Linked DNA regions of Caenorhabditis elegans. The protein of the gene in region 1 interacts with the protein of each later gene in a pairwise test. Each region holds a gene or a part of one and is shown on either strand. Other genes may lie near its edges.

Region 1 (16,249 bases):
AAGAGAGCGAGCCGTCCTGTACAGCAACCAATCAAGGAAGTTTCACTTTCAAAAGAGGAAAAGAAGGATCTCAGCGTTGTTGTTTAGATGCATTTCTATTATAAAATTGCTTCTAAAAGTTGGAAAGTAGGATTTTTCATCTCGAAACTCTGAGAACTTCAATTGTTTAATGTATATTTTGTAATGATTGAAAACGCTTTAATACATGATACTCGTCATAAATAAAACTGACTAGCTTCGAACTTGATTTTTTTCAATTTAATTGTGTAAACTCAAAAAGTCGTATTAAAGAAAAACAGTTTTTAAAGAACTATCCAAGAAGAAAAATTTCAATGTGTTAGTCGCTATAGGCATTTTTTTTGTGAGAATTCAGGAAAAATGACGGAACAAATGGATTTTTGCCTGAATGTACAAAAATCGACCAAAATTCTAATATTGCAAAAAAATGTTATAATGAGTTGATGTATATCGTTTTTTTAGTTTGCAAGATTTATGTGTTCTACAGCTTGAAATTTTAAAGTTCACTTTTCGGATAGTACGTTATAACCTATCTCCTCGAGTATTTTTTAACGCCCGATTCAAATTTTCAGCCATTTTTGTCAACTGCAAAAGGTTTCACATGTATTTAATACGTGCATTTCTACCAGCTTTCCATTTCTACACTGATGACTGACACTTTGATCAGAAGCTTATCCTGGCATTCAAAATCTACCTTTTTTATTCTACGATTTAAAAAAAAACTGCTGAAAATCACATAACTGAGATCCAGACAGTTTTCAACTGAATACGTTTCAACTGTAATATTCTGTGATTTGATTCTTCAAAGTAGTTATTGAATAAATGAGGAAACACACGCAACATGTTCCTTTTTCAATCACTTTTCTGCGACACAAGAAGACAAATTTTATTTTAGAATCAAAACCAGATCATCATCAGCATGAAGCCTGTGGCGGCGGTTGTTGGACGAGGAAGAGGTTGACAAGGAAAAAGATGCAAAAAAAACTTTATGAAAAACTAAATTGCGTAAGAGAAGGGAAATGCTAAGATGTTGCGAACAGATGTTATCCAAGATATTATCATCAATGGGCACTTCCTCACTTCATCAACGATGACCGTCTGAAGTGTATATGCATGGTTTAATTGTCAACGTCATGAAGTCTACAGGTAAAAATACGCTCGGAACCCGATGTGCTTACTCAATGTTTAAGTACTGGTTAGCCAACTAGCCTGTCCATGCCATTCAGTTTCTTCTCACCTTTCTCTCACTCTCCTTTTCTCGATTTCAATTTCTTTGATCTTATTGACTTCAGAGTGTTCTACCTCAAAACAGTTTTACCTCCCTCTTTGTTTCATTAGCTTCATATTTTTTCCTCTCGCTTTCCCATCGAACCTTTTCTTTGTAATTTTACAACTGCACAGGACACGACACTCAATCTCTCAAAAATTATCACAACGACAAAGGCTTGAACTGTAATCTGCGGCAGGCGGAGGAAAAAAAAGAGGAAGTATCATCACTTGCCGTCATTATTATTTTTGTTTCACTTCAATCTTCTCACGCTTCACTCGATTTCGATTAATTATCTATTCACCTTTTAGGTCATGATCTTCTTCTCGGTGGCTTTGACCACACTGCTCGTAGGTTTATCTAATGGATGTTTCTGCCCGTAAGTCCCGATCTTTAATTTTTCCTTCGATTAATTATCTTGAAGGCCCGTAATCAGTCCATCTTGTGGATGTGGTGGAGGTGGTTATAGTTCCTACTCTGGCGGTGGATATGGTGGTGGATACGGAGGTGGTGCAATCAATGGATATGCTACTTTCTACAGAGATCTGACTCCGTTCAGACAACCGTATTATCAAACTGCTTCTTATCCACAGGTGAGGAATATCAGAGAAAAATCGAAATAATACAAAAAAGATGAGATAATCCACCTCAAAATGCATTAGTATTCCGCTATTTTTTTTGGGTTTAGTGTACTAATTGATCACCATTCAGACTAGACTTTTGGGCAGTAGAAAATGAAAAAAAAGTCAATGTTACTGAGGAATATCTCAAAATTCCAATTTTTATAAAATGAAAAATACATTACTTCTTTCTAAATGCCAAATGTAATCGGCTTTTTTAATTAAAAAAAACTAACAAAATTTGGAGTAAAGAATGTTTGACCTAACATTTGAGAGACTGATAGTGAAGCATAAATTGAGTTATTTTCCAAAAACAAAATCAAAATTAACGTCAAAAGTTATTGAAGTGTGAGTTGAAAATAGTATTATTTTAGTACCAACAAGGACCAGCTCAATCTCTTCAACAAATGTATCAACTTCCAAATCCTCGCTACATTCAACCACAAGCTCCTCGCCCACAATACATATCACGTCCTGCTCCTCGTCCAGCTCCTGCTCCATATCAACCACCACGTGTTCAAGAAAGACCGTATGTTCAGCCTGCTGCTCCAGTAGCTGAACTTGCTGAAACTCGAAAAAATACTCTTCATGATAACGGATATGGAGAAGAAATTGAAAGAACAACTTACACTCCAGTGGTTACTGCTGCTCCAGTATATGAGACTGATGCACCAACTATTGTCACTCAAGCTCCAGCAGTGGAAGAAGTACCAGATTTCGATGAAACTCCGGTGAAAAAGGGAGAGAAAGATGAATTTTACTATGCATATTATGACGACAAGGGTAATAAAGTTGGAGATTCAAGATCAGGAACAACTTTTGCACCAGAAAATGTAATTGTTGAAGAGGAGGCTACTGTTGCTCCAGCTCCAGCATCTATTCATATGGATGTTACGGTAAAATAATTTTTTTTTATATTATTATAGTGGATAATAGATTTTTGGATTTTAGACCGAAAGAGTTGAAGTAGCGAATGAAAACTACGATGATGTTGTTGAAGAAACCCAGGTTCCAGTCAGAACATCTCTTTCTCCTAGTTATACTCCAGAAGTTGTGACTAGTTCAACTGTCCTCTTCATGGAACCACGAGTAGAAGCAAAAACTGTGGCTCCAGCTGCACACGAGAACACAGAAGGTAAGAAAAATTAGTTGTTTAACGTTACAAACGAATTGCGATATTTCATAAAACCTTTCAGTGGTTTACGAAGACGAGACTGTTGAATATGAAGATGATGGGCACTCAGAAACTTCTGAATTACCATCAACAAAGAAACCACAGTCGGCAGAATTCAAGCGAACAGTTCAAGACAATCAAATTCTTGTTGATGCAGCTGAAAATACGGGAGAAGGATATCGTCGACGTAATGCTGTCAACGGAGTTCGAATTGTGAAACGGTTTCGACATGACGAGAGAAAAATTCATTCTAACTAACTTGTTTAGTAATAAGGAAAAGGCACTTATTTGATCTCAGACTTTTTTGAATTTGGAACACCCAAATTTTTGTATCGAAAAACATGGTTCTTAGAATAATTTTATTGCTTGATATTAATTGAGATTCAATTTTAATTGAGATTCTGATATTAATTGAGATTCAATCTGCGTCCTTTTTCTTGCTTATTATCATTAAATTCCTACTCAATTTCACTTCAGGTTCATTGTCATATTTGTCAATTTTTGAGATCTTTTTTTCATGATTCATCTAATAAAGTAAATCAGTCTTATATTTTTTGTGTACATATCACACTCATCATCGTACATTCAAATTATCACGTACTATGTGGCCTGTGATAAAAGACAAATATACCTAGAAATTGGAAAATTAACCTTCATATACATAGACATAAACTTTCCCAAACACGTTTTAATTCTCTCTTGTCCCTTTAAACGTCATAATTTATGACTACTCTTATCAAAAACTAACTTCTCTCTATCGATACGTATTTTGCATTTCGTCATTATTTTTAATTGTAAAACCAGACACCTCCAAAAACATCATATGACAACGACATTCATGGCTCTAAAATAATTTGGGTTACCTCGTGTTTTCGTTTGATGTTCGAACAATTAATATACAATTCATTACATTTGCAATATCGAATTGAAAAATAGGTTTTTGTCCCTCAGACTTTACCTTTACTAAGTAATATAGCACTATCATTCTCAATGTCTGACTCAATATTTTCTCAAGTAGTCGCAATGGGAAATAGACACTGATGAGCCAATGGAGAAAAGAAACAGTCACTCAGTTGACATCACATTTCCTTGTGATGTTTGTACTCTTTTCTGTTTTCAATGAATATGAGTTTCTCACTTTTTATTTACAGACCAAACTGTATTGAGTAAATAAGGGGTGGTTGGGCTTTTGGATATAAAAATGATTGCTATTTGATGTTAAAAATCAAACGTCTAGAATGATTCGAATCTTATTTTTTGCTTTATTCTTAACTTCTGCAAATGCTATTTTTAATCTGATAGGAAGTGATCAGTATGTGACCGTGACAGGGAGATTGATTTGTGATGGACAGCCGGCATCAGATGTTCTTGTGAAATTGTATGAAGATGGAACGAGTAAGTTTGATTGAAAGTTTTTTTTTGAATCATTTGGGATTCCATGGTGGGTAGCAACATTTTCAGGCAAACATTTATGAAGGTTTAATACAATTATTAAAAAGTCAATATGTTCTTTGGAAGTAGGCATGTCGGCACGAGGCAGTTCACACTGAAATTCAAATTATTTTTCCAGTTTACGACACAAAGCTCGACTCAACAAGAACCAGTTACGATGGAACATTCAGAGTCTCTGGACATTATACAAAAGTTTTTGATATGGATCCGAAAGTGAATATTTATCATAGCTGCAATCATTACGGTGTAAGTGCAATTCAAACACAAAAAAATCTACATTAAAGAACATTCAGATGTGTGACAAAAAGTTGAGAATTGATATTCCACACTACGCAATCAACTCTGGTCAAAACTTCGGAGTAGACAACTACGACATTGGAACTTTAAACCTGGCGGATCAATTCAGTGGAGAAACTACTGATTGTATTCATTAGCAATTTATCGCACTGATCTCTGAAGTTTAATAAATATGCACTTCATTTGCTAAAGTTTAAATGATGAACTAGACATAGACATTTAAGGGAATTGCGTCAACATGAATATTATATTTTAGAATTGAAAATAAGTTTAACTTTGCAATATTATGAAAACAAAAAAAGGAAAAAAGTTTCCAGGAACTGTTTTGATTCCAGATTATGATAATATTTGTATTATCCGGAAGTTATGTTCTCCAGTCAAAAACATAACTGTTCACATGACACTTCCTCCATCTAACACCTTCAGAATAAAATACGTCAGAGTATATGCTGAATAGAACTCTTCTGTGCTAATTGGCTCATCGACCTTTGGGATTGTCTGGTCAGAACGCTGACTTCAAGTTCTCCTTTCTGGTTCATTTATTCAGTTTGAAATGCTTACCCCTCTCTTCTTTCTTCCGGCAGCTTATGGTGTTGCTTCTTCCTACCTGTACACTTTGATCATTCTTATGATGATCAGAAGATGGAATGAATACAACACTGCGTTTTTCAAACTGTTTATTATAGAATATGTTTTTGTAAGTTCTGAGGGATTCTGTTTTGCAACAGATCTCTTGAAAATAGACAACTTTCGTATTTTTATTTGCAAGACAAGTAGTTAATGAAGAGAAGGGAAACAACTAATCATATTTTTGTTCATTAGTGTGAGCACACTGCTAGAGCAAAAAAACTTATTACAAAAAAACTAAGTTCATTAAAATGCTCAAACTATCATTATGTGACTCGCAACTGAAAAATGGTGCAGTGACAGAGACTGCGATCCTAATTTTCGAAAAACGTAGTCCAGTGCAATATTTAAAAATGCTCATAAAATAGAGAACATACAATATGGTACTTTCCTAAATAGCTTATATGAAAAAGATAATTTTTCTACCGCCATTGAAAATGTCTTCACTGTACTTCATTATAATGAATTTCAGAACATGGTAACATTTGCCAATTCATTTGTTACTCTTCGCGCCCCTCAAAATACTTGCAACAATTGTACATTTGCATTTCTTTTTGAGAGAAATTCTTCTACAGAAGAAGATAATTTTCCTCTTCAAGTATTCTTTACCATTCACTATTGCATGGCATTCATTCAGTATTTCATGACATTTTTATCTTCTCTCAACCGTTTGACGATGGTATTTTTTGTTGACAGTTATGAGAAAGTGAGTTAGGAGTTCATGCTATTTAGAAGACCTCGAGAGAATTTTTATTACGATTTTTATTAAGTGTTTTTGTTATTTCAGATATGGCGCCCGAGTCTTCCTTTCCTTATTATGATAGTTATTATATTCCCTATGATTATGACATGGCCAATTGCGACAAACAACGCATACTTTATCTATTCTCCAACATTGGGAGGATTTGCAACAAAAACTGTAGCCGTATGTTTTAATTTTACAATTTGTTGCAAATGTATTCAAACTCAATGAGATACTTTTTTTAAAAGTGTGTCAAAGCGTACATGAACTCAAAACATTTTTAAAGTCTGAATTTATGAATATATTCAATTTTTTCGTTTTTCAGAACTCAACAGAAGTGCTAAACTCGCTAGTCACATTCATGATAGTTTTTACATTATTTACCGCAACTGCAAACATTGTCTCAATAATTCGTCTGACTCTTCTTCCAACAAGGATCAGTGGTGCAGAGAGAAATCTGTTTACTGTCAGCTTTGTTTCGTTCATTATTCAGCTATTAGCTCTCGGAGATACGGTATTTAGGTTTTGCCTCCTCAGTTATTCAATATTTCAATACTTTTAGTTGATTCTTCGCGCCGCACCATCAGAAGGAATGTCAGTCGGAGCCCAAACTGCAAAAGCATTGATGCCTTTTGTTAGTGACATACTCACTTTCAATCATCCATGGACTATTATGTATTTTAGTACCAAGGTAAATGATATATAATTCTGTGAAACATGTCTTATTTTTCTAGGTACGTACGTCAATGGCAACAGACCATTTTCCCAGTCTCAGGAGTAGAGCTGTCATGGTAACAAGTTCCGTGTACTAACATATTTTTTATTTACTGATTTACTGACCAATGTGAACATACGCATCTTTTTTATTTGTGTTCTAGAATATCAAATTTTGAATAAACACTCACATAAAACAGTTTTATTTGAAAAAAATTGATTACATAAATTTATTCCTGATTAGTGTCCAGTCGGCTAATTGTGCCAGAAATAGAGTCCAGTTCAACAAGATCACCAGTTTTAAAGTGATATGTTGCATTGGAAACTGCAATCAAACTTGGTAGTCCATACTCTCTTGCAACAACAGCCCCATGACTGAGTAGTCCTCCAATCTCGGTGACAATTCCACTGATAATTGGGAAAAATGGAGACCAACAGATATCCGTGTATTTTGTAATGAGAATCTCTCCTGGTTTTGTCTCTTTTGCTTCTTCCAATGTTTTGGCAACTCTTGCTCTGGCTCTAACTTTTCCTTCGCATACTGTAGTTCCTCGAAGAATGATACCAATATTTGCATCAGTTTCAGCGATTTCTATTTTAATTGGATTCATGTATCCATGAGAAACAAGTGGAAATTGGAGACCTTCAAACTTCGATGAAATCTGTTTTCTTCTGATTGCTCTGGAAACAAGTTTTGCACTTCTTGTTGCATTCAATTCTTTAAGTTCGTCCATTGAGAAGTGCATCCAAAGATTTGGATCAGGAAGATATCCCTAAAATTGAAAATTACTTGCAGCAAATTTTAAATTAATTCACTTTTTCATACAACTTCTTTCCAACCATTCTGCATGCCTTTCGAAGAGAATGTGTCGTGGAAACTAAATGATTTTTTGCTGTTTCTCTAAATGAAACTCCACGGTGTGTCTGACCGATGAAATATTTCAAAAGTCTTCTGAAATGTGTAAATGCATTTTTTTCAAATGGTTACAAAAAGTTTCCCACCTTCTAATACCAGTCGGCTTGCATTTCAAGTTATCAATAATATCATCTTCATTCTCAATAGTCTTCCCAGACGTTTCTGGGCAAGCCAACATACTTTTAATTGTATGAACTAATAAATTGGTGTCCTCTTCCCAGGTGGTAGCATCTAAATAAAGTTCTTTCGGCCCTCGATGTCCATGCAATTCTAGAAATCTTCTCAATTCGTCAGAGCTTTTCTTTCCGTTTTCAAGTGTTTTCAAAGCCTCATCGTCTTCTGCAGCACAAAATTCTTTATCAATACTCTCTTCTCGAATGGTTTTTGCAAGTTTCTTTAAAGAATTTGGAACGTCAGCACTGATTACATCTCCACGAGAGTTATTGGAGAACACATTGGCAAAATCGGATATATTGTCATTGGAAAGAGGTCCATCTGAAAAATATTTTGAATGGAAGTTGATATCAGATTCTATAAAATTTGAATAATTACAACTTAGAAATACTTAATTTCAAGAATCAAAAGGAGGACAGATTTGACACAGAAATCATAATTTTATAGGTATTTTCAAGTATGCTGCTAAATAACAAACACAATTTTAAATGATTAATGCGTAATCATCAATTGTGTGAACTCTTAAAAACCTATCAAAAATAGTATTTTAAGGAGAGCTTAACCCTTCCTTAAGAATTCCAGTTAAACTCTATATCATTTGAAGGCCTTTCAACACTTTCCACAAAAACTAACTGTCACTTCCACGAATAAGCATTCCACATAGCACATATGTGAAAGAAGAGAACATTGAAAGACTGGTGTGACAATGGCTTGCATCACACCACAACTTCTCAAGCTCGTCATATTTTTTGAATACTATCTCAATCGTCATTTTATCATTTGGCACCAGTTTCTTTGCTTCCTCGTCGATTTTGACAATTTTCGCCTTCACACTGTTTGATGTAAAATATATTAACTTGATCATGTTGAACATTCTCTTCAACGGAAAGAAAGGTGAAACTTTTCCGTATTGATGAGCTGCTTGTTGGAACATTTCCGCATTGAAAAGAGTTTCTCCAGCAATCACTATATCAGTAATTCGATCTTTTTCAACCAGTTCCCAAATTCGAAGAACAACTTCTCCCAAATTGAAAAATATTTTACGGTGTGCAACGGAAAAGCCGATTGAAGTATGTGCCGGCACAACATCATTGAGCTCTTGAAATGTCATTGACTGAAATTTTGTTTATAATTTAATTTTTTTAATTATATTGTTATTCTTACTGCAATGACTTTATCAAACATTCCAGTTAAATTATGAGCTTCCATGGCATTAACCGGAACTGGAAGAACTTCTCCAACATTTGCATTTGTTAGAATTTCTTTGTCATGAATACTTGGCGAATTATATTCTGTGCACATTTCAAATTGAGTCTCCTTATCCAAACCAGTAATATCTCGACTTTGAACAATATTAACCATTTGATTTCTAACAACAAATTCAATATCTTGAGGTTTTCCAAATATTCTCTCCAAGTACTCTCCAACTTTGGTAAGTTTCTCAATCTGATAGTCATCCAAGCAACAATCGACGCCAACTTTCTGAAAATATTTTTGTAGTACTTCTTTATTGACAAAAAGGTAAAATATAGCAAAAATCCTTTTAAGAAAACCCAACTTACATTTATGACCACCGTTTTATGGATTCGATTTACGTAAATCTCATCTGGTGTCGTCACACCGCTCACAATTTGTTCCCCACTTCCTTTCAATGCATTTATCACAATTTCTCCACGATCTAATTTTACTGGATTTGCGGTGAACATAACTCCAGCCACTCCGTTTCGATCCATTTCTTGAATAACTACAGCCATTGACGGATTAAGCTGCTGACCGTAGTTTCTGTAAACGTCACATTGTGATTGAAATTTTAACTTGTTAAAACCTACTTTCTGTAATTCAATACTTCTCTTCTAAAATTAGAGCCCCAACACAGCTTCAGTTTATCAACTATATCAATTTCAATCACATCCAAGTAACTTTCCAGTTGTCCAGCTGATGAAAGATCTGCTCCATCTTCTCCAACTGCAGATGATCTTACTGCATAGTATTCAGAACGCGGTAACCACTCCTTAATTTCTTTTTGCAGTTCTTGAGACACTTCACTTTCGAAAAGAAGCCCTTCAATTCTAAAATATGTCATGTTTCTAAATATTGGATTGATAACTTATTTTATTACCTTTTACCAACATCCTCATAATACTCGGCATTTTTATCGTTGATATCGAGAAGTTTTATTTCTTCTAAAACATTTGGATTCGCAATTACATGCTTGTTGAAAGCTGCGGTAGTGACAACTATTCCAGGAGGCACATGGAACTGAAAATCTATTTCAACATTGTATATGCTTACTTTCAGAACTTACATCATCGGTGATTGCTTGAAGTCTTGCTAAATTCGCACCTTTTCCGCCAGTTAACATTTTATCCTGACATGCTCTGTGATTGAATGAGACTACTGATTTCATCTTTTCTGATTCAGTTGCATGATATTCCGGGAAACTATCGGGAAGTTTAGTTGTAACTTCATGAATTGCCTCTCTCACTCTAACCACAAATCCAACTCCCGTAAAAATTGCAGAATTAACTTCTAACGCAGTAACGTCGACAACCTTGTTGTCTTCTCGAATAAACGTGAAATGACATAATTTTCGTCCTTTTCTCATTTCAAGAGGGAGAAGTCCACGTGAAACATATTTGAATTGAACTGGAAGCATATTATCTGACTCAAGGGAATGAGAATTATCAATAATTATTGGACGAGCACTGTGATCTGAACGGAATCCCACTCCGTGACTAACTGATTTCTTTTCATCTACAGAGTTGACACGATAGGAAATTGCATTTGCATCCTGAAAACTACTTTCTTAAGCGGGATAAGCCAAAAAGTATTTCTACTTTTCTATAATACAAAAAAGATAAATAAACCTTACGCTCAGGTATGTATGAAAATGTGTAGAACTTGTCTCCAAGTCTAATGGATTTCTATGACGAAGTCCTGAAACTTTGATGGAATTTGGTTTTTGTATCGTGTGTTTTCAACCTCTATATCTATGTTCGACAACTTCATCTTTCCCAATTTTGATTTCTGCGTGATATTCACCCATTTGGTTTAACACATTTCCTTTTCGGTACCTAAAGTTGATATAACGTATTTGTAAGAAATGATTCAGTCACTTTTCGATAGTTTTCAAATTCTCAATCAGTGCAGTTGGTTTGTCATTGTAAATTTCATTGAATGACTTCAAAAGAGCATTTGAATAGAAAAATCTAGCATTCGACACACATTTCCACCATCCCGAAAGTATAACAAAATGAGAGTTGCCTTTAGCATCATTCAGGTATCCACGGAAATTAATTCTCCATTTACGGAATGGGTTTCGAAGCTCAATTAGCAATGGTCCACATGAAATTGTTCGATTATCGGAGAATACTGCTTTGTATGATCCGGAATAAAGAATTCCTTTTTCGAAAACTCGAATATGAGCAAAATGAATTTCATTCTTTGTTATAACTTGAATATACACAAAACTATTATCTTCTCCAGAACCGCTAATTGTTAGAATTTCCTGCAAAAAAAGGACGAATTTCGTGTCTATTTTTATTATTCATACTTCATTTTTAATATGTTCCAGTTCCCATTCCTCTTTATCAGGGTTTATAATGTCACGAATCTTTGCAGTTGGAGCAGTGAACTTTCTGAAATTGTATTGAGTCTACTGTAGCCTTTTTTAGTTTAAAAAAAATCAAAAAAATCTCGGTAATTCACTAGAACTTATAAAAAGACAATATGCATGAATACCATCAATATGCAAGAAGGGAACAGTTAAAGATTTTATTTTGAAAATGTTTTAAAAGTACGATTTCCAAATTTCGATCAGCGAAAAAAAATGAGTGGTATTTAAAGTATTGCAAAAACGTTTGAGTAATTTTTTAAATCAATCTTTTATCTATTCAAGCACATGTCTTTTCTTTAAATACTATAAGAGTGAACGAATCGGATAGTCATCGTTCATATTTTCCATAGAAATCTAGATAGAAGTTTCAACTTTTTGTCAATTTATCAAAGTATGGTTTCTGCTATTCATTCAAAAAAAAAAGTGTGCTCACTTGTTAATCAACTGATAGTATCAAATCACAATTGACAAAAAACTCGAATTTCAATATAGATAACCAGTTTGGGTCGTAAACAAAAAAGTGATCAATTGCCCCATACTGGGTCCATAATCACATTAGTACTCACTTGACCGGATGTCTCCATTTAAGGAACGCGTATATCACTGGATACAATACAAACTTGCATAGTGGAGCTGAAAGAAACAGCAAAAACAGGAATATCAACATTTGTTCTGTAAATACGTAGAATTTTATGTCAATAGCAATACATGTAAGAACATCAATAACTGAAGAGATAGATCTTGATAGTATTTTAGTAATCAGAGATAGCTTCAAGTGTACTTGTCTTGAAACGGTTTATAAAATAGTTTTAAAATGTATATATTTGCCAACTGATTTTCATGTGACACTTAGAATATCTATGTAGTTTGATAAAAGACTCTTGATTAAATCATTAAATAAATACAAAAGTACGTGCAGATTTGATAGTGATTGTGCTAATAAATTAGTGTTGTTGTATTGAAGGTCAAATATTTGTTGTTGGAAAATGGAAAAGATCAATAGCTTCTAGCAACTTATATGTCAAACTCGGCAAACAAAGATTAATTGAGAAATTTTAGTGAATTTTTAAGGCTCAATAATCGGGCATATTGTTTCTATAAAAAATCATCGCTAGACATTCATCTATATCACATCATAGATGAGTATATCATAGCAGAGCTGTCGGTTTTTTGCTTTTTTGGTTTTTTCGTAAAAATGGATTTTTGATTTTTTTTTCAGACCAAATTAACAGAAAAATTGTTTTTCAAAGATGTTATGTTTTAGTTGGATTGATGAAAAATCGAAAAAAATAGAGTGTTTTTTTTTTGGTTTTCTGGAGAAATTCGATTTTTTGTTGTTTTTCACAGCCCTCACAAGGTATATCATCACAAGCCTATCATCACGGCCATATACTCTAATAGTATGACATGCAAGTCGAATTCCAGAGAAGTTAGTACTAAATAATAGAGAATACAATAGAGATGTCACACAATGAATAATCTATGGCAAGGGCTCGAAGAAGAATTCGGCAAAAAAATTGAATAGTTTGAGTACAAACCATGTTTTCCAAAAACGACCAGTCATTGCAGAGAAGTTAACTAGAAAGAATGTGAATTTCTATGTTTATACTTCTAGCATTGGTAAGTTCAAAAAATAAGAAACTGGAAAAGTTGAGTGCTGAAGAATCTTATGGCACATATAAACTGTGGCTGATAACGAAATGATTTGGTTGAACGTATAAGTAGTTATCAGGAAATAATCAATAACTAAGTTTATGACGATGATGATTTTTTCGATAACTGAATTGACGGCGCAAATAAAACCAGCCGACGTATTTAATTTCCATCTGGGTGGTCTTCTAATTCGAATATTGGATATGTTCTTTGCAATGTTGTGAATGTTTATGGGAAGACATTTTTTACAAGAAAAATCTTTTTGTGATAATGATAATGATTACAAATACACTAAAATGGGCTCTTTCTTCCTATGCAAAAAGAAGACGTTCGGACGGTGGTGAATCAGAAATTTAGTCATGGGCATCGTCGTGACCGTGATGTCCGTGATTACGGTACTTGTACTTGAGTCGCTGCTCTTCTGGAACGGCAAAATCGTAGACAACAGTTCCGGCTTTGATGATTCCGAAAAGAAGAGCCAATCGCCACACAATTTTCAAATATTGACCATATGGAGATTGACGGAAGAAGTCGGGGTCTTTGTTCTGAAATAAAACAATACAAATCGCATTGCGTTTTATTTTATGCTGTCACTTTTTAAAAATTGAACGTTTTCTTGTTTAAAATTTTTTTAATTACTTATGCATGAGAAAATTGATTTTTTTTGTAGTACTTATGCCATTTCATAACAAAATATATGATTTTGTGAAGAACTTTGAAATTTTTTTAAAAACATTATGGCGGCTTCAAAAGCCAAGTTTTTAGCCTCGCCGGACAGTCCCGACACTATAAATCTATAGCTGTGGAAGCTTTATGATCAAAAAATTAAAAATTCAGTAAACTAAGTACTAAGGTTATCTTATTTTGAAAGCATTGCAATTAATTCTCAAAACAAAAACATATTTTCGAACTATTTTCGAACCGACTGTACTTTCGGGAACATAATTAATTCTTTAAAAAACTCACAATTGCACGATAAGCAGCTGTCGTCTCCTGCTTGGCTTCACCAAACAAAAACATTTTTGGCATGTTGTTCACATTATCCCATTTTCCCTCACTTCCGAGTCTGTTGATTTCTTTCCAGACGGCGTGGGAGTCACTGCAATAATTTGAAAATTTATGATTCAAAAATTCACCAATTTAGGAAACTGTTTTGTATTCGAGGGATAGATATTACAAGCATTGAAAAATCAATTTTGTTCTTTAAGAGATCAACAATTTAATGCATTTTTTAATGCTTTTAAAGGGAGCAAACGCATATTTTTGGATAGATGATTAAATATTTAGTATTTCGGAACAGATTAAATAAGAAAGTGAGCATTTGTTATATTTGTTAAGAATAATCACTTAGTAAACTAATTGCATTACGAATACGAAAAAGCTATTGTTTAAAATAAAATTCCTGGTAAGAACACAGATATTTTCTGAAATATCGAAAATTCCATTGATATCGTTTTTTAACATGATTTCTTGACATCAGATTATTTAGCCTTTAACACTAAAAAAAACTTACTGAGAGTGAGACGATGCTTGTCGAACTGCAATACGTGCAACCTGGCGGCCGGCGTGAGATAAGCCTGACATGGCGAAATCACCTGAAAATAATTTTTAGAATTTGTGTTGAGAAAATGAAAATTTGATAGGAATTGTTCGATTTTCACAATTTATGCAAAAAACCTCAAACAGTATGGAAATTGTTAAATTATAGAAGAAAGAAAAAATAAAAATAAAAATTGCCCGAACACCAAAAGCGCGCCAGTGGACGTCGCTGACGCACTATTCGACGTACTGGCGCACTTCTTGCTAATATTTTTTTTGCGTTGACGTTGCAGATTTACTCCGTTTTTTCCCTTTCAAAAATATTCTCAATTTTTTGAAAATGAGTCACACAATTCTTCTGCTCCAACCGACAGACAACATCGAGTCACGTTCATGGTCGGATTATGAGAATACCACGGAATGTCTTGAAGGTGAGTAACAAAAACCAAATTACATTTTAAAATTAAAAGTTTATAATCAATTAAAAACTTTTAACTTATAGGAATCTGCAGAGTCTACGAAGAATATTTGAAAAAGAAGGTTCCGGCTCAAAACGAAATCACCTATGACATATCGCACCTTTTCGAGTTCATCGACGACCTCAAAGATCTTTCAATGCTGGTTCTCGACAATGTTGGTTTTTAAAACATATTTTAAATATCGGAAAAAAAATTGCAGACAACATACACATATGTCCCCCACAATAAGCAATATGTAAAGGAGAGCATCTACAAATTAATGAACAACAGGCTCAATAATCAGCACTGATTACCATCCATATGGGTTTCTCACTTCTATCTCTTTCCAACGTTCTCTTTTCTCACTTTTTACGGATTCAGTCCTAAGTTTTAAACTCTTTTCCAAAAAATGTGAAAACGAAATTTCATATCCAGTTATACAATTCATCCGCAACCACATGAATAAATATTTTTAAATGGTGTTATTTCTCTACGTTTATAATTACAGCAGTTGTTTTCTGTGTATTATTTATTTCATTTGGAATTAGTGATTTTCGAAATTTACAAAAATCTTCAAATTGTTCAGAATGATGGTGTCTCCTCCGCAAGAGGATACAGTGTTCAATACCGATTCAGATCCAGTTTATGAACGTAAGTATTAAACTATGGAAGGACTCGAGAGTTGGTAAGAATATTCAGATCATGCCGCTCTCGTTTCCTCCCCATTTCACGCTGATGAAGATCATACATTCGATATTTCATTTGCTGCAGAAGCAACGGACGACATGACATTCAATGATACGACTACAGATGGAAATGGACAAGAATCTGTTCCATTGGAGGCATTGACAGTAGTTGAAATAGAAAAAACATCTAAAGGTATAAATTGTATTTTTAAACGTCTATATAGTACTCATTTTACAGGTTTCGGATTCAATATAGTTGGTGGAACAGACAATCCTCACTTTGTTGGAGATATCGG
Region 2 (16,118 bases), on another chromosome or scaffold:
CTTCGATGGCTTCAAGATCTCCTTCATTATTTGTGATCACGAGGGAGACTTCTTTCAGAAACCCATCCTTTGTTGCATCCCCAGCATTTCGAAGTAGTTGAGCGATTTGGTTAGACCGTGGGTTTCTGAAGCACAGCGTCATGCATTTCAGCTTTTCTGAAAAAGAACATTTACTATAAAATGTGATAAGAAAAACATTTACCAGTGATGTAATTCTTCGTGAAATATTCTTGTCCAAGAATGTTACGGTTCCTAAGAACAGCCGAAAACGCGACGTAGATTGCTCTGGTCATGAAATTGGATGATCGATCCGGGTCGCTGACAATCCTTGGGAAAAGTTTGGACCATTTCTAAAGATGAAAAAAATTACAATGGCCATAAAACCATGAAAAAAACCTTATCATCAATGGAATCCGCCGATTTGTTGAGCGATTCGTCGTAGATGGTTTCCAAGGGCGCCATCTGCAAAAAAACAGTCTCATTTTTAGGCAAGAGTTTGTAAATGTGAAATATAATATAATTCCTCGAGGAATACTATGCAAAGAAAGAAAAAACCCAATGACAAGCTTAAAATGATACACTAAAAAACGAAAAATTATTTTCGAAACTAGGAAACGATATTTGAATTTTAAAAAACACAGAAAATCGTCAATTTCGAAAGCCTAGGAAAGAATTTTAGGATTTCAAAAATGCAAATAAAATGCTAAATTAAAGGTACATCGGATTGGGTAAGTCCATTGGTCTCGCCACGCAATTACAAAAGCTCAAAACTATTCAAATAATTTTTGACTAAATGCAGCTTTTCCTTTTATTTTAAAGTAAATTTTTCATTCATTTCAAAACTGTCAACAAATTTGATTACTAGAGGTAATTTTAAAAAGTACTATTCTTTAAAAATACGCAAATGCAAGTGAAATTCGCTAACTCGTGGTGAGGCCTAAATTTAGTTTACTGACTGCTCCTTTGATTACTGTAACTTGTTTGCTATTTTTAAAACGGTCTGAATTCTCATTTTTGGACGAGTTTGCCTAAATTTTCTCCTTTCAAGCTCAAAAAACGTTTATCATTGTTTTCAGATGCCAAACTATCGAGGACGTCATCAAACGAGACAGAATTGGAGTTCTAAGCCAAGAGAAGAGCACTCCCCGAGGTATTTGAATAAAAAATGTCATTTTTTCGAGTACTTTCTTTTCAGCAAAGGCGCATACAGGGACAAAATCTGGAGCGGTCCAGTCAGTGAGGTCGCCAGGCAACAAACGTATGAAACTAATTTTTAAATGTTCCTAATTTACTTATTCTTCAGGGTGTACGACTGGGTGACTACAGGTGCTTATTCCCTTGGATCGCCAGACTCGTGGCCATCTTATCCGGACGAAATCATAGTGAGTGCTGTAGTACACCGAAAAAAAGTTAATTTTTCTTGTTTTAGCTGATGAACGAGTCCCGAAATGCTCAGACATCCCGCATGTCGCGTCGGTCGGCTACTCCCGGTCCAGTGAGTTTATTTTCTTCATATTTTCGTTATGAGACAAACCTTGGTTTCAGAGATTGTCACAAGATAGAAGGACAAGAACTACAGCACCCGCCGTTGCGCCGATTCCGTTTCAGAGGGCACAGCCTCGAGTAGAAGTGGAGAGACAAAGAATCGACGAGCCTGTCGCACAGGACCTGATTATCGATGATGGGGTACCAGAAAGTTTCATTGAACATTAGCTGTAATGTATTTTTGTAGAACGGTACCAACAATTCGAACGATTCGAGTATTTGTGGCTTTGTGGAGGAATCCGAGGAACTCGTATATCCACAGTGAGTATCTAAATCAATTAATTAACTGAAATTTATCATTCCAGGTGGGTTTACTATCTGTACCCATTGATTCCTACCGCGCCTAACTGCAACAACGAGAAGTCGTACAAAGAAGGTGGCAATTGGTACAACTCTCCATGAATGATCTCCCTCTCCAGCTTCTCTCAATCTGTCATATTTCTTATGCCTGAGTTGCTCCTCATTTTAAGAATGTATCATTCTCATATTATCTGTCATATTCTCACTCCCATCATGCCCGTAATCAAACCCCCGTCATTCATTTTTCTCTGTACCGGTTAAGAAGTTCTAACATTGTATTTTCCATGATTCTAAGTCAGGAGCTTTTTCCCCATTATTAATCCATAATACGATCGAAGGTTATTTACCATCGATGATTGGAAGGTTGAATTAATTTCACATTGTTTTCTATGAAACGTTCATCCGATCCTCATTGACCATTCGATCCTTTGTTATATTTTCCCATTTTTACTGTACCCATCACCTCATACGCATCCTTTTAGGCTAGAAGTCTGCATTAGCAGAATAACTTTTGAGCTTTCACCGAATGTCTGTCCCATGTCTGCTCTCTCTTTTCCTTTTTGTTTTTGTTTTCCTCTGGTCAATGTTTCAATTCCTTCTGGTTTTTTTGAATCACAATAAACATTCTCCAGAAAATTGTCTCGATTCTCACTTGTTGTGTTGAAAAATATTCACGGAAATCGTTCGGGCAGTAGGTTAGAATGCGGAATTCAAAATCCTGGAATAAAAAATAGTTATGAATCTGTTACATGTGATCTTTGTTGTATCACTGATCACTATTCCCGTGTTCCTAGCTTCTTCACATGCTTCATCATTCTTTGAGCTCTGGTAACTTATTTTGCATGGCGTGTTATCAGTGAGTTGTTGAATGGTGTGACATGAATTTCCGAGAGAAAAACTATAGAAAATAATTATGTATTTGGGGACTTTCGAAGTACAATGAAATGGGGGAACGAAGCATAATGGAAAAAATGATATAAATTATATACTATCCTTATTAATTATTCTGCAATCAAATATGGAAAAGATCACGCAAGTTTGGAGGAAAGATTGGGAATGGAAATTGACTAGATTCGTTCGGAGATTCAGATGAATACTTCGTCGATTATTGAATACTGAGCACGACCCGGTTGAGGAATGAATTCGAGCCAATCTGATGGAGTATTCGGTAGAAGACCCATTGTATGTACTTTATAGATGGCAAGACCGATTGCTCCGAGGTTTCCAAGGCAGAAGATGAGCTTGTGAATAAACATTGATCCAGTTGCAGGGCTCTGAAAATGTTAGAATATTTTTTTGTTTAACGCCTTCTCCAAACAACAAAAACTAAAAGGTACAAAAACCAGTACTAATTAGCTTCAAACTATAGTTTGTGGGAACTCGCAACTTACCTCAAGCGGTTTGAATGTGGAATTGACTGCGAATAATGCTTTCAGCGGCCTAAACACCATCATTCCGACCATCATAATTGGGAAAATCGACACACCGCCTCCGGCCATATACATCATGAACATGTTCATCGGCAGAGATTTAGCTGGTCCCATTGCAGTGTCCCATACTCGTTTTCGTGCCAGATGCTCGTGTTGATCAGCGGATCGATCGGCTTCGGCCTGAAAATTGAGAAATTATAAAATTAAGGTTTTAATAATAAGCAGATTTTTTTCTTTCTTAATGTTTTTTAAATACACAATTTTAGCGAATAACTGTTTTTTTAAGACTTTTCAATTCTCGAAGAAATTCAACTCACGCTATGTTGAACGGTGGCAGCTGTCGAGTAGAAGCCTGGCGGGTTAAAATTACTGTCCGCAGTACGACAATTCTTCGAAGAGTAAGTGTAGTCAAGTTTCCAAGCCGATAGTGACATTCTGGAAAAGAATTGAATATTTAAGAGCAAGAAACAAATGGCAATGAAAATTAATGAAAGAGCAAAAATCGATAAATACGCCAGGTGGTTGCTGACGCGTTCTTTGATCGCGTTGGCGCACTCTCGGTGTCGGCATAAAATTTAAACTGATATTTTTCTTCCCTCGGCGTTTATTGTTGTTTTTGTTTTTTCTCTCGGTTTTATTTATAACTTTTATAAATTTTTCAGATCAAGATATGAGTGGAGCAGTTTATGGAGGAGGTATGGGAACTTTGATCTTTTAAGTTATAGATAAAACGCCGTTTTCTTTGCAGACGAGGTTAGCGGCTTGGTTTTCGATGCCGGATCTCAATCATTCCGCGTGGGATTTGCTGGAGAAGAATACCCAAAGGCAAGAAACATTTCAAGAATTGATAAATTTATACCTTCAAATATATTATTGCTTTATTTTTTTAGGGAGATATTCCATCATACATTGCCGTTCAAGAAGCACTTCCTGATGATACTATTGAGAAACAAGAGGCTATGGAAGAAGTACGCAGTTTCAATTTTTAATTCATTTTCAATGAAATCATTATTTTTAGGGTGATAACTCGAAAGTGCAAACAAAACGCGAGAAGAATTTTTTCATCGGAACGACCAAAATCATTGTGCCACGCGCCAGAACTAACATGGAAAGTTTTATGAAAGAAGGATTAAGTGAGTAATTTGACAGAAGTTAAAGTTAAAGTTAAAAACAAAAAAATGCTTTTCAGTCGAAGATTGGGAGTTGTTCGAAAAGATTGTGGAACATTCGTATGAGAATATCCTCTACTCCAATCCATCTGAACATCCGGTTTTGTTTTCTGAAAGCTCGGTAAGAACATTAAGGATTATTTAATAAGAAACACTTGTTTTCAGTGGAATGACCGTGCTCGTCGGGAGAAGCTGACTGAGATCATGTTCGAAAAATTCCAAGTCCCTGCGTACTACCTCTCCAAGAATGTTGTTCTTTCCTGTTTCGCACAAGGAAGAACGCACGGATTGATGGTTGATTCTGGAGCAACTCAAACTTCAGTTGTTCCTGTTTTCGATGGCTACGCAGTGACTCACGCGGTGGTAAAATGTCCAATCGGCGGCGATCTCATCACAGAACAACTGGCTCAAATGCTCGATCAACAGAAGATTGATGTTATTCCGACTTATAGAATCGGTGGAAAAGAAGAAGTTAACGAAGGAGAAGCTCCAAAATGGACTCCAAGGAAAAATCTACCACAGGTCACGAAAAGTTACGATGCATTTATGAAAAAGATGCTTTTGGAGGATATGGCAGCCACTATGCTCCAACTCTGTGATACAAGTATTGATATGGACTACGTCGACAAACTTCCATCGACACCTTATGCTTTCCCTAATGGATACACAAAAGAGTTCGGAGCCGAAAGAATCAAGCTTCCAGAGTGTTTATTCGATCTTGGATACCTTAAAGCTGAGGGAAAGAAGGATGGATTGATGACAGTGGCTCAAATGGCAGCAGCTTCTGCAAATCTTGCAGATATTGACATCAGACCGACACTCTTCTCGAACGTCACAGTCACTGGAGGAAACTCGTTGATTCTTGGATTCACAGAACGGCTCAACTATGCTCTAGCCACAAAGTGTCCACCGGTAATTCTTCAAAATTAAATAACGCTTATAAAGAATAAAATATTTCAGACGATCAAGCTCCGAGTATTCGCTGCTCCAACTCAAGCGGAACGGAAGTACGGCGCATGGATCGGAGGATCAATTCTCGGATCTTTGGTGAATAATAAAAAGTTTAAAAATCTTATTTTAATTCCATATTTTTTGTAGGGAACATTCCAACAAATGTGGGTGAGCAAGGCCGAGTACGACGAGAGTGGAAAATCGATTGTCGAGAAGAAGTGCCCGTAAAAACTTTGTTTTAAAATGCTTTCAAGTATTTATTCATTAATTTATCAATTCTCTCGTGTATTTATATCTTCTCCGATTCACAAGTTAATTCGAATCGTCGACATCCAATAATTTTCTCTCCTCGATCTCAACCAAGAGAACCCCTGAATTTTTATATTTTTTCTTTGTACGATTTTCTATTTATTCTGTGTATTTCGAAAGTTGTGAGCTTAAACTTATTCACATTTGAAATAAAATTATTGCTGATTAAAAAGCTAATCACAAGATGTTTTAATAGGATATCGATCCCGAAAAAGTTTCTATATTTATTTTGTTTTGAAATTTCCGCCATCAAATTGTAACATTTTCCCGATGCCCATCTTTTCGTTAATACGAAAAATGCAATGCCACGTCAAAGATGAGGTACTGTACATTGGAAAAAAAGAATTCGAAGAGCCAATAAAATCGGAATGGGTTCTAGAAATGCAGAATACAGAAAAATACAAAACAATTGGTAATAATTGAGATAAAAAGCAGGAAAACTTAATTTTTCTTATTTCCAGGACCAACGTTTCCAGATGGAACAATTAATTGGCAGTGTCCATGTATGGCAGGTGGATCTCTGGTAGCACATAGGTACCTTCACCAGATTAAATAAATAATATCTTCCGGTGTAGCTCTTTCTTGTGATAAATAAACAATACTATTAATATATTTTAAACCTCGAATTTATCCAGGTGCGGCAACTTCTTCCGAGAGCTGTACATTTGTATGAAAAGCGACGACACGAGAGATCCATCGGAAAAATGTCCAAATCAATTTGTAAATTGGGCCGCCTGTATGCAGAATATGAGTGGTTGGTTAACGAATTATATTTTAGAAAGATATAAAAAAAATGTAATTTTCAGATGAACGACGAGAACAAATGCGGAAGGCGATGACTGTGGATACGGAAGAATTGAAAATTAATCCGAAATAATATTTTTGTATTATTATTTATATTTTTCTAAATATTACTGTAGGTCGAGTTGCAATAAACATTTTTTTTCTGAAATCTCTTCTGAGCATCACGAATTGGAATTTCCCAGTTAAATACTTTATTTCATAGAATTATTCGATTTTCATAGCCCTCCGTTTTCAGAATTTATCGAGAAAAAAGACCAAAAAATGTCCAAAGACGAGATTTTAAAGTTGGGCCGCGAAGAGTTTTTCAAATCGGTAAAAATGGAATACCGACCATATTTTGAGCCATATGAGACACCTGGTATAAAATTTTGGAAAAAAGAATCGGGAAATTTCGAATTCTTCAGAATCCGTGTATCCCGACGGCAGCATCAACATCGACTGCACCTGCCTCCATTCTGCTCTTGCTCATCGATGTGGATATTTGATAAGAGATGCTTTAGTGTTAGTAATATTTTATAGAAACGCAATAGTTTTGATGAGAATGCAATTGCGCTCCACAGCTAATCAAAAACGCTCCGCCCCCTAATCATGAGTCTCGTTTGGCGGCGAATATACGGAGATTTTTGAAACCCCTCTTTTTGAAAACATTAAGGGTTTGAGCGAATTTACGCTCTACAATTTCGAGTAGTATTTTTGAAAAAAAGTGCATAATTAAAAAATGTCTGGGTTTTTAAGTTAACGACAGGTTTACAGAAAAACATTTTGGTTTAAAAAATTCTTTCAAGAAATCTCCAGCCTTGCCGCAAATACCCAACGAGACCCAAAAAGTTCATTTTCAGATGCTTCAACGCTTCGAAAACCACACCACGCGGCTTGGACTGTGAGAAGGAATTTGTGGCTCACGCAATTTGTACAGAAGAGGCGAATAACAAATCCTAAGCTGTATTATTCCTTATTTTGAATCTGTAATAAACTTTGCAATCCTCTTTGTCCTTTGAAAATCACACAAAAAAGAATAACATCGCAGGTAATTTGAGCCGAAACTCTTGGGAAATTGCTCACTTTTCACTTGGAAACACTTTTTGGAATTCTATTCTTCTCTCAAACTCTCGAAACCGGAAAAGTTCCTTGAAACGGAGAAAAGTGCACGCAATTTTCTTTAATTCAATTGAATTGTCCCTCGAGAAGTCGTGACTCCAATTTTCTTTTATAAATTTTTTCCTACGTTTCCCTTAAAACCTGATTGATTTGTGATTCAAGTTGGTTGGAAATTTCATTTCTTTCTTCAAATTATGCCTGCCAAGTGTGATAAGCAGCTGTCACTTTCAGAATATACATTTTCCTTTTTTTTGAGAAATGAAATGAGCTTTTCTTCTTGCTCTTTTTCTTGTTCTTCTTTTAGTATTACCGGTACAGAGAGTGTAGATAGTTAGAGAGTGACAGACATCCGGGACCCAATGGGGCGGGGCGCGCGGAAGAGATGATTTGTGTCGATATACGAAGTTCTCCTCGTTGTCATCATTTGTCATCATCAAACAAGATCATGACTAACAAATGATGGCTTAATGTAAACAAAAAAAATAATATTTTGGTTATTTATAAGAACTTAAAGGTAGTAGGAGATTTCAGAAATGCCAAAACTTAAAAACGAAAAATTAAAAAATATTAAAAAAAAACTATTTTATACAACGAGATATTCCCATTGTGACTTATGTATCTTCCTGTCTGAATTTCCGCAGGAATTAAAGCTTCAAAACCAATTTTTGACCAATCAGATGGAAAAAATGGGCTCAGATTCTCATTTCAAAGGGGATTCAAACTCTAGAAAAAAAAGTTATTGGAATTTCTGATTTTCAGACTTTTAAAGAAAATATTTTAAATCAATCATTCACGCTACTCCACCTCTAAAAACCGAATTCATAGTCTTATTCCAGTAATTCCAAAGTGACGTGTGTATTACCTCCAATTCAAAGATCATGCCATCAAATTGCGGTTTTTCAAGGATTTTCAATGTTTCTCTCCTATAATTAACGTCCTTTTCATTCCATTTTTTGTCAAACTCATTTCCATATCCTTTTTTTTTAGACTCTTCTTCTTTCTTTTTCCACTTTAAACATATGTTTATGTATGTATATCCGTTTTTCTTCGCCGTTTCCTCCATTTTCTTCGGCTGCTGCTCCTTTTTTTTGGGCCGATAATTCAATTCAGTCCTGTCTTTCAATGGAAAAGAGGTCCTCAAGAAGAGCTATTTTTATTCCTTTTTCTCTATAATAATCACAGAGAGTGTATCATTTGGAAAGCCGGATGGATGTTCGATTTCCGGTTTTCCAGTTTTTTGAGCCAACATTCTAGCTGTCCTACATTGATTTCTTTATTTTTTCTGAAAATTGACTTTGGGACTTTTTTTCTCTTTCTTGGCGTGCCTACCTCTTGCCTATTTTCATTTTGAAATAAGACACTTGTGTAGGCAAACGTTTAGGCATCATAAAAATTGTAGGTAGGCTGGCAGGTTATTTGTGCCTACCTGAAGACCTACTGTGTAGATGTTAGGTCTTCAACCTGAATAAAATAAGTAGTGTACTTCCTTCTTAAAATACGATTCGGGTTCCAGAACTTAAAATGATTTTTTAAATTTTCAGGTCTTCCCATAAGTTCACACAGTGGTTGCTAAGTTTGAGCAATTTGAAATAGTCACGTCTAAAACTGCTCAATAATAATCTTAACCATACTAAACATGTACATTTATAAAAGATTCGATTTTGTTCTGTCAGACGTGTTCAAAAGTTTTGAAAAATATACAAAACTTATGGGAAGACCTGATAAAAAGCAATGAAAACGGGAAGTTTTATTTTAAAAGTTTTAATAAAAATAGAAAATCATTCAAAATCGACGAATTGTGCTGAATTTTTAATTCACGCGCAAATGATTTTATGTTCTAGTTATCTAAACAATATTGACAATTGTTGACCCATTTGATAATTATATTTTTCACCTTAATTATTTATTCCAGAATTAAATTTTGTGTCAGAGTTTTTCAATTCTAAATTCAATTTTAAAATTTTAATTATGTTCTGTTGTACTCAGTGAATACTAATAAATCGAAATGATAAAACAAATTATTACATTTAAAAGTTGCTTTCTAACTAACTCTAACTATAAGTCATCTAAAATAATTAACTTCATAAATTTATTGAAACAGTAGTTTCTTGCCAAAACGCATTTATTGCAGAAATTTACCAAAAGTCTCTCTCGTTTACTTTAATGTTTCCATCAACTTCTATAATTAATATTTTGATTCCAGATATGCCTACAGTATCCCAATCAGTGATAGGAAATAGTGCAGAAGAGCGAGAACTTCAAATATGCCGTCTTGGGTGGTCTCTTCTTCTTTTGTGGTTGGTTATGATAATTTACATGACAAAGGCACGTTTTTGTTGTTTGGCTGTTAACAATTGATATGATAATTCGTTCTTTTTTTTGTAGGAGATTTGGTTCGGTGAGACTTCGATCGGAATAGAAGAAGAACGTTTGATTCGGAAAAGAAAACGGTCAATTTATAGTTTTGATTAGGGTAAGTTATTTTTACAATTCTTCAATTTTGGCAACTTTTCATGAATCTTTTATTGCAAATGTTGGACGTTTTTCTCATGTTATTTCAAAAGTAAGCTTTGCACTGCGACACAAAAAAAGTGGCCAAAATTGCAGATATTAGTTATTTAAAATCGCCATAAAACCTTTTTAGAAATTTTTTTGGAAAGAATCTTCAATAAAGTCAAATCAAACAATTTGAAAATACCGAAAAATATGAAACCTTTGCGAAAATGTATCGACATTTTTATTAATATTTATACTCATTTTTTTAAATCTAAGCAAATTTTGCTTTATTAGAAACATTTTCAAATAAGTATATAAAATCGAGTTGCCTCACTGGTGAAATATAACTATTTCACAGTGTTTTGCAAAATTGTTTCAACCATTACTCAAAGGAAATTTATAAGTTGAAGAAAAAATAAATTATGCATTTTTTTGGTTACTAGATATTCATTTCATAATATACCAAGAAAAACACATACCTTTAAAACAAGTTTTTTGAAACAGTCAAAAAATATACTCAATTAAAATAGTATGAAGAATCTAAAGTTTCACAGCTAGTTGTTTGCTTTCGTTTGGCTTTATTGCCCTTTGTATTTATAGATTATTCAGTTTTTAAATCTTTCTGAATTAATGAATAATAGTAATTAATTAACACTACAATGAAGGTTTTTTGAAAACACTAAGAAAAAAATATAGCCGGAAATAGTTTAAAAATCCGTTTAGTTTTTGAGAAATTTCAGTTTTTCTTAAATTTTTTCGACGATTCAGAAATTAGAAATTTATTTTTTTAAATTCATATTTCTATAGTTCTGTAAAAGAGTAGAAGATAAATTTTGTTAGATTCTTAATTTTGAGGTTCAGACAATTCTAACAAAAACGCAGTGTTTTGAAAATGTTTGAAATTGAATTTTTCTGAAAATCAACAGTATTTAGCTACTTGTTAAATATTAAATCCAAATATCCACTGACCTTACTTCAACTATAAAATATGCTTTAAAATTTGGCACCAAGTTGAATAAAAAAAAAAGAAAACAATTTGCAAAATTTTTAAAAATTGATTATTTAAATGTTCTGCATATATAAAATTTTATAAAATTATGATTAGGTTCTTCACAAGTTTAACTAGACATCCACACAGTACACAGATATCATAAAAATTTAAGAATATTAAACGGAACACATTTGTTCTATTTATTAAAATAGGTTATTGATACAGTTAGAATTTTTGGATATGTGGCCTTAATACTTATTTTGACTCTTATGCTTCCAGATATTTTAAAATTCAAGTTGTTAGTCTGATTGTTCTAAATGTTCTGGTTACAAGATTTTTCAGACAACATTTCAAGAAACCAATAAAAAACAAGAAAACACATGTTTTTGAAAGTATGATAGGATTGAATAATTAAAATTGTAAACATTTTTATGTTTTGCTTGAAACTGTAAAATTTTTTAAAGCCAAAATATACGTTGTAAGTGCAAAATAAGTATTCTTCTTATTCTCATGCCACTTTTTGTATCAAGAACTATTTTTTTTTGTCCAAAATCCGAATCCCAACTAACCAAAAAAAGACAGAAGGGGGTCCAGAGACAAAAGGTTGAATATAATTGGAGGTACAAACGACGTGACGAGAGGTGTTTGTTCTTCCTCATTCATTCACTCGAGCCACACTCTTTTTCCCTATAGCAACACCTTTTTTGGTTTTAGTCTTCTTTCCAAACATATTTTCTCATTTTCCAGGACCTCGGACCCCTCATTCATTCTCTCTTCCTCTTTCTCTCTGTCACTTCTACTCTTCTAGGTATGTGTTTATGAATGTTCGTGTCAAATTAAATATTCCAACATTTTGTCTCTAAGGTATCTATGGAGTAAGTTATCACGCAATCCCCTGCCTTCATCCAAAAACATTTATTCCTGTTTCACTACATCATGATATCGGCCGACAACTTTTGCGATCGACTTTATGTTGGCGGATTTTCGACAAACTTGAGCAGTGAGCAAATTCGGGTAAGTGTATGAAATTGGATAGGCAAGCGAAGAGGTGTAAAAGGGAAATATGATTCATTGGGAGGTGGACAGAGATGTAAAATTATAGGTTAGATTAACGAATTGACGTTACTACCAGGAGTGGGCGGCAAATTCGGCAAATGTGCCGTTCTATGCAAACTTGCAAAAATTTGTAATTTTTAGATGTTTTTGGAGCACCAAAACTGCCTGAACAAAAACATACGTGCCTGCCACACACCTTCCTATTTCTGAAAGTACAACAATAATCCATAGTGAACATTCAACAACAAGCAGTCAGTCTGACACAAAATTTCAAACAATTCAGAAACAGTAATTAATTTGAGAAATATTTTTTGAAAATTATTTCAGAACCATGTTTATTTATTTGGAAGACAAAATTATTTCTGTAGCTTAATTTGATACTATTCTTCATGTGAAATTGAAAAATTATTTACACCTGAACCGGAAAAAATTACTTTACTACTAGTGTTCTAGTCAGTTATTCAATTAAAAATGCATAATTTAAGTGAAACTCAAAACTCAACTCCAGACTCAAAACGACAGAAATTAGTAGGGCGTTCCGTAATGCAACCATATATTCATTTTAAAAGAAATAACCTAAAAACAAGGTTCAGAATCTGATCACCCAATTGGCTGCACCATTTGAAGTGAGCATTGACATTGTTGAAAATGGATCTAGAAAACATCGAGGATTTGCTTTTGTACAATGCAGATCACTTGCCGAGGCAAACGTTTTGTTGGCTAAATTTTCAGGGGTATGCTACTTTTTTCTTAGATTTTGATTTTTTTTAATGGAAAAGTCGTATAGGAATTCATTAAAAATTTCAGAGGATATTACAAGGGAGCCTTAATAAGGCACTGAAAAGGTTTGACAACAATGCTCTGATTGATTATTTGATAATCCTAGATTCAATCAAACCATTTCTGATTTTCAATTCCAATTAATGTATTTTTCTGAATTAATACTGTTTCATAAAGCGTATAAATAGTTTTTTCATAATTCAGTATTATTTTAGAATATACAGTAATTTGTATCCAATCACCCAATCACTTCAGATTTTTTTCCTCTTCCATATTTTTCTTTTATATTTGAAACAGTAATATTTTCAGCTCTTCACAAAAGTCAATTTCGCAAAGAAAGAGCCAAAACCAGCGGAGAATGTTATGAGCAATGTATGCTTTCACTCATTTGGAATAGTTATTTAATTTTCATACTTTCAGATATCAAATGTCTTCGTACGTGGAATATCTCGTGACATGCCGGATACTGAACTCTATCAAGCTTTTGGAGGAATCACTGACGGAGTTGTTCAATGCCACGTGGCAGATGGATATGGTTTTGTGCTCTTTGACACAAGAGCCAATGCACAGAAAAAGATAGTCGAGATGGATGGGAAGACATTGGTTGGGAAATGGAGAAACAAAATTTAAAGATTTTTTTTGGATTTTCAGAATGGAAAGCTGATTTCTGTGAGCTGGGCAAGACCGGATACTGTTGGAAGGAAGAGAAAAAGACCGATGAGTGAGGAAAGGTGAATCTTGTTTCATGTTGTTCAAAAATAGTTACCTAAAATTATGTATTATTGATTATAGTGTACAATAATAAAAAGAAAAAAAAATCTGTTGCTATATGCCGTTTTATACAATCAAAATTAGCAAGTTATTAGTTTGATGACTTCATAATTTTTTTTGTTTTTATTTTGTGATTTTTATCTGACGACTTTTTTTTCAATATTTTTACCACCGTTAAATATGTGATTATTATTTATGTATAAAATATGTGAAACTAGGATGCTGTCGAAAATTTGCAAATTTTTCTTTTGAAAATATTTTTTACTGAGAAACCGAAACAATGAAAGAAATAGATTGCAAATTATATAACTAACAATTTGATGATTCTCTGAAAAAACGAAATTCTTCTGTTGCTATAAGTCATTTTAAATTATCGAAATAAGGAAAACCGGTTACACTCCGTTTTGAACGTAGAAAAGTGAAAGACAGTTTGAAAGATATTCGATACATGTGTAGTTGGTCTAAATTTATGGCTTGAAAACTATGTCAGTTTCAATTACCAGAAACAATAATACAAACTCCATTTTCCAGCCCAACACCATCCAGCACTGATCTTGGACTTTCTTCTCTTCTCAAACGTCCAGTAATTCCATCTCATTTATTCCAATTACCACCACAACCAGCACAAATACTTCAACCATCACTTATTCCATTCCTTAACCCATCATTCCCATTATTATTCCCTCAGAATCCACTTCTAGCTCAACCTGATTTAACGCAATATTTGAATTTTTTGATGTAAAATAAAATAAAATTGTGGAGGAATACATATTATTTACGTAGCACAGCCTCAAGTTCAAAATGAAAAAAAACAAACGGCGGGAAATTAGAAAAAAAGAATCGAAAATCAATTATTCCTATTATTTTTTGATAACATAACGGCTGCATATCAACAAGCGAAATGACTGAAATTCATAACGCCGAGGTGAGTTCATTTTCAGATTTTCCGAGATTTTCCGTTCATTTTCAGTTAACTCAAGAAATAGTCATTGGATCGGTTGCGGCATGGCTTGAACAGATAAATGACTCAGCTTTAAACATTGATGTTTCATTTCATCGGGACATTAATTACAATTCCAATCAAGATTTGTTAGTTTTTACTTGGATTTTTTAAAATTATAGCTGAAATTGAAGCCTGTTGAAGTTCATAAACTTTACTTTTGTAATGAGCCAGTAAGAGAAACCACTTTATTCGAACTAGATTGAGGAAGTTTGAATATTTCCACAATTCAATCATTACTAAAGTTCATTTTGTGTAGCTGTTATAATTTTCATGTGAAACCGTAACTTTTACATTTCAGAACCGCCACCACAAAAATCGATATTCTGAAGGCAGATGACTTCCGACCAATGAAACGTGGACAACATGCGTGGAAAGAAAACGATCAAAAAATGATTCACAGGATGCAGAAAGAGAAGAAGGCAGTTAGTGTGGAACAAGGAATTGTCGGTGCTGTAAGAGGTAAGAGGGGAAGTTTTGAAGGTAGTGAAGATTAAATCGATTGAAACGTTTGAACTGTAGACATGAAACAGTAACCGATTAACTTCAGAATCATTGGAAAGCTGGAGAACGTCTTCTTCATCAGAACGTCCAAGTGCCGAGGAAGGTTCAATGACCAAAAAAGTTTCGAATGAGGTGGTGAAGAGAGTTGCAGTCAAAAGAGTGAGTTGTTGTACATACATACTATTGCATTGAAACAGTTTTGCTTCTTCAAGATTAATCTAATAAAACCTCATGAAACAGAAAATCAAATTGTTTTCAGGAGCTTCCATCTGCTGAATACCATTCAGTTCGTTACGATGAACGGAATTTGAGTCTTCGAAAAGCACAAGTTGAGCTGAAAACTGCACAAGAAGCTCCAGCTGTTCGAGAGAAAGGAGATGCAAATGATCGAACGGATAAAGACTGTGTCACTCATCCACACGATCTTCAGTCTACGGAAGAACCAACGACCTCTGATTCAAATTCACAAGTGTCGGAAGATATTCCTCCACCAAAAAATAAGGAATCAGGAACACCCCCACTTAAAGAAAAAACTCCTGAACCAATTCCAGAAGAACCGAAGAAAGTTGAGGAAGAAGTGAAGAAGCCAGAAGTACCAAAGAATGAAGAGCCGAAAATGGAGGAACCAGTGAAAGAAGAAGCACCAAAAGTAGAGGAAAAGAAGGAAGAGGTGAAAATGGTTGAGGACCCAAAAGTAGAATCACCATTGGAAGTGAAGAAGATGAAGAAGAGAATTCAGGTAAAAAAGCACATTTTTTAAAGTTTTTACTGTTTCAATTATTCGTTATGAGTGTTTGAAATAAAATACAATTTTAGTAGATCTACATATCATATACGTAGGATGGTGAATTTTAAAAGTTTCATAGTTTCATAAATCATTACCAACCAATCTTACAGCAAAATTTCAGATAAAT

What was found.
Region 2: the proteins of erh-1 (region 1) and ZK616.3 interact in a two-hybrid assay, tested with the Caenorhabditis elegans proteins (one large-scale study listed by BioGRID).

Annotation. Positions count from the first base shown.
Region 1 is NC_003283.11:10,577,927-10,594,175, reverse strand, and holds erh-1 (Enhancer of rudimentary homolog), read left to right. Parts: upstream 1-15,034; 5' UTR 15,035-15,149; coding exon 15,150-15,240; intron 15,241-15,311; coding exon 15,312-15,442; intron 15,443-15,487; coding exon 15,488-15,577; 3' UTR 15,578-15,749; downstream 15,750-16,249. Other genes in the region: T21C9.11 (DUF4149 domain-containing protein), read left to right, coding at 1-87; T21C9.9 (Prion-like-(Q/N-rich)-domain-bearing protein), read left to right, coding at 1,600-1,664, 1,710-1,878, 2,280-2,801, 2,857-3,040, 3,102-3,337; ttr-23 (TransThyretin-Related family domain), read left to right, coding at 4,318-4,474, 4,650-4,777, 4,825-4,965; srg-32 (Serpentine receptor class gamma), read left to right, coding at 5,382-5,525, 5,928-6,161, 6,243-6,380, 6,523-6,711, 6,760-6,888, 6,932-7,009; T21C9.6 (Phosphoenolpyruvate synthase), read right to left, coding at 7,142-7,684, 7,728-7,863, 7,914-8,322, 8,635-9,115, 9,166-9,483, 9,564-9,783, 9,831-10,070, 10,121-10,260 and 6 more; lpd-9 (LiPid Depleted), read right to left, coding at 13,624-13,815, 14,237-14,369, 14,784-14,854; mics-1 (PDZ domain-containing protein), read left to right, coding at 15,855-15,918, 15,967-16,146, 16,192-16,249. UniProt on the Caenorhabditis elegans protein: May have a role in the cell cycle.
Region 2 is NC_003282.8:5,391,096-5,407,213, forward strand, and holds ZK616.3 (CHCH domain-containing protein), read left to right. Parts: upstream 1-5,973; 5' UTR 5,974-5,974; coding exon 5,975-6,116; intron 6,117-6,165; coding exon 6,166-6,238; intron 6,239-6,339; coding exon 6,340-6,458; intron 6,459-6,510; coding exon 6,511-6,581; 3' UTR 6,582-6,656; downstream 6,657-16,118. Other genes in the region: htp-1 (HORMA domain-containing protein), read right to left, coding at 1-156, 203-350, 397-462; ZK616.5 (uncharacterized protein), read left to right, coding at 1,077-1,150, 1,196-1,258, 1,304-1,382, 1,430-1,495, 1,546-1,686, 1,733-1,806, 1,851-1,947; perm-3 (ER membrane protein complex subunit 4), read right to left, coding at 2,931-3,119, 3,237-3,455, 3,593-3,709; swsn-6 (Actin-related protein 4), read left to right, coding at 3,946-3,970, 4,024-4,100, 4,166-4,243, 4,294-4,408, 4,465-4,565, 4,610-5,356, 5,405-5,491, 5,543-5,623; ZK616.2 (CHCH domain-containing protein), read left to right, coding at 6,770-6,866, 6,913-7,009, 7,348-7,447; ZK616.1 (RRM domain-containing protein), read left to right, coding at 12,030-12,107, 12,743-12,883, 13,239-13,301, 13,350-13,532, 13,581-13,660, 14,232-14,442; ZK616.61 (Titin-like), read left to right, coding at 14,602-14,625, 14,671-14,789, 15,002-15,162, 15,251-15,363, 15,464-15,943, 16,113-16,118.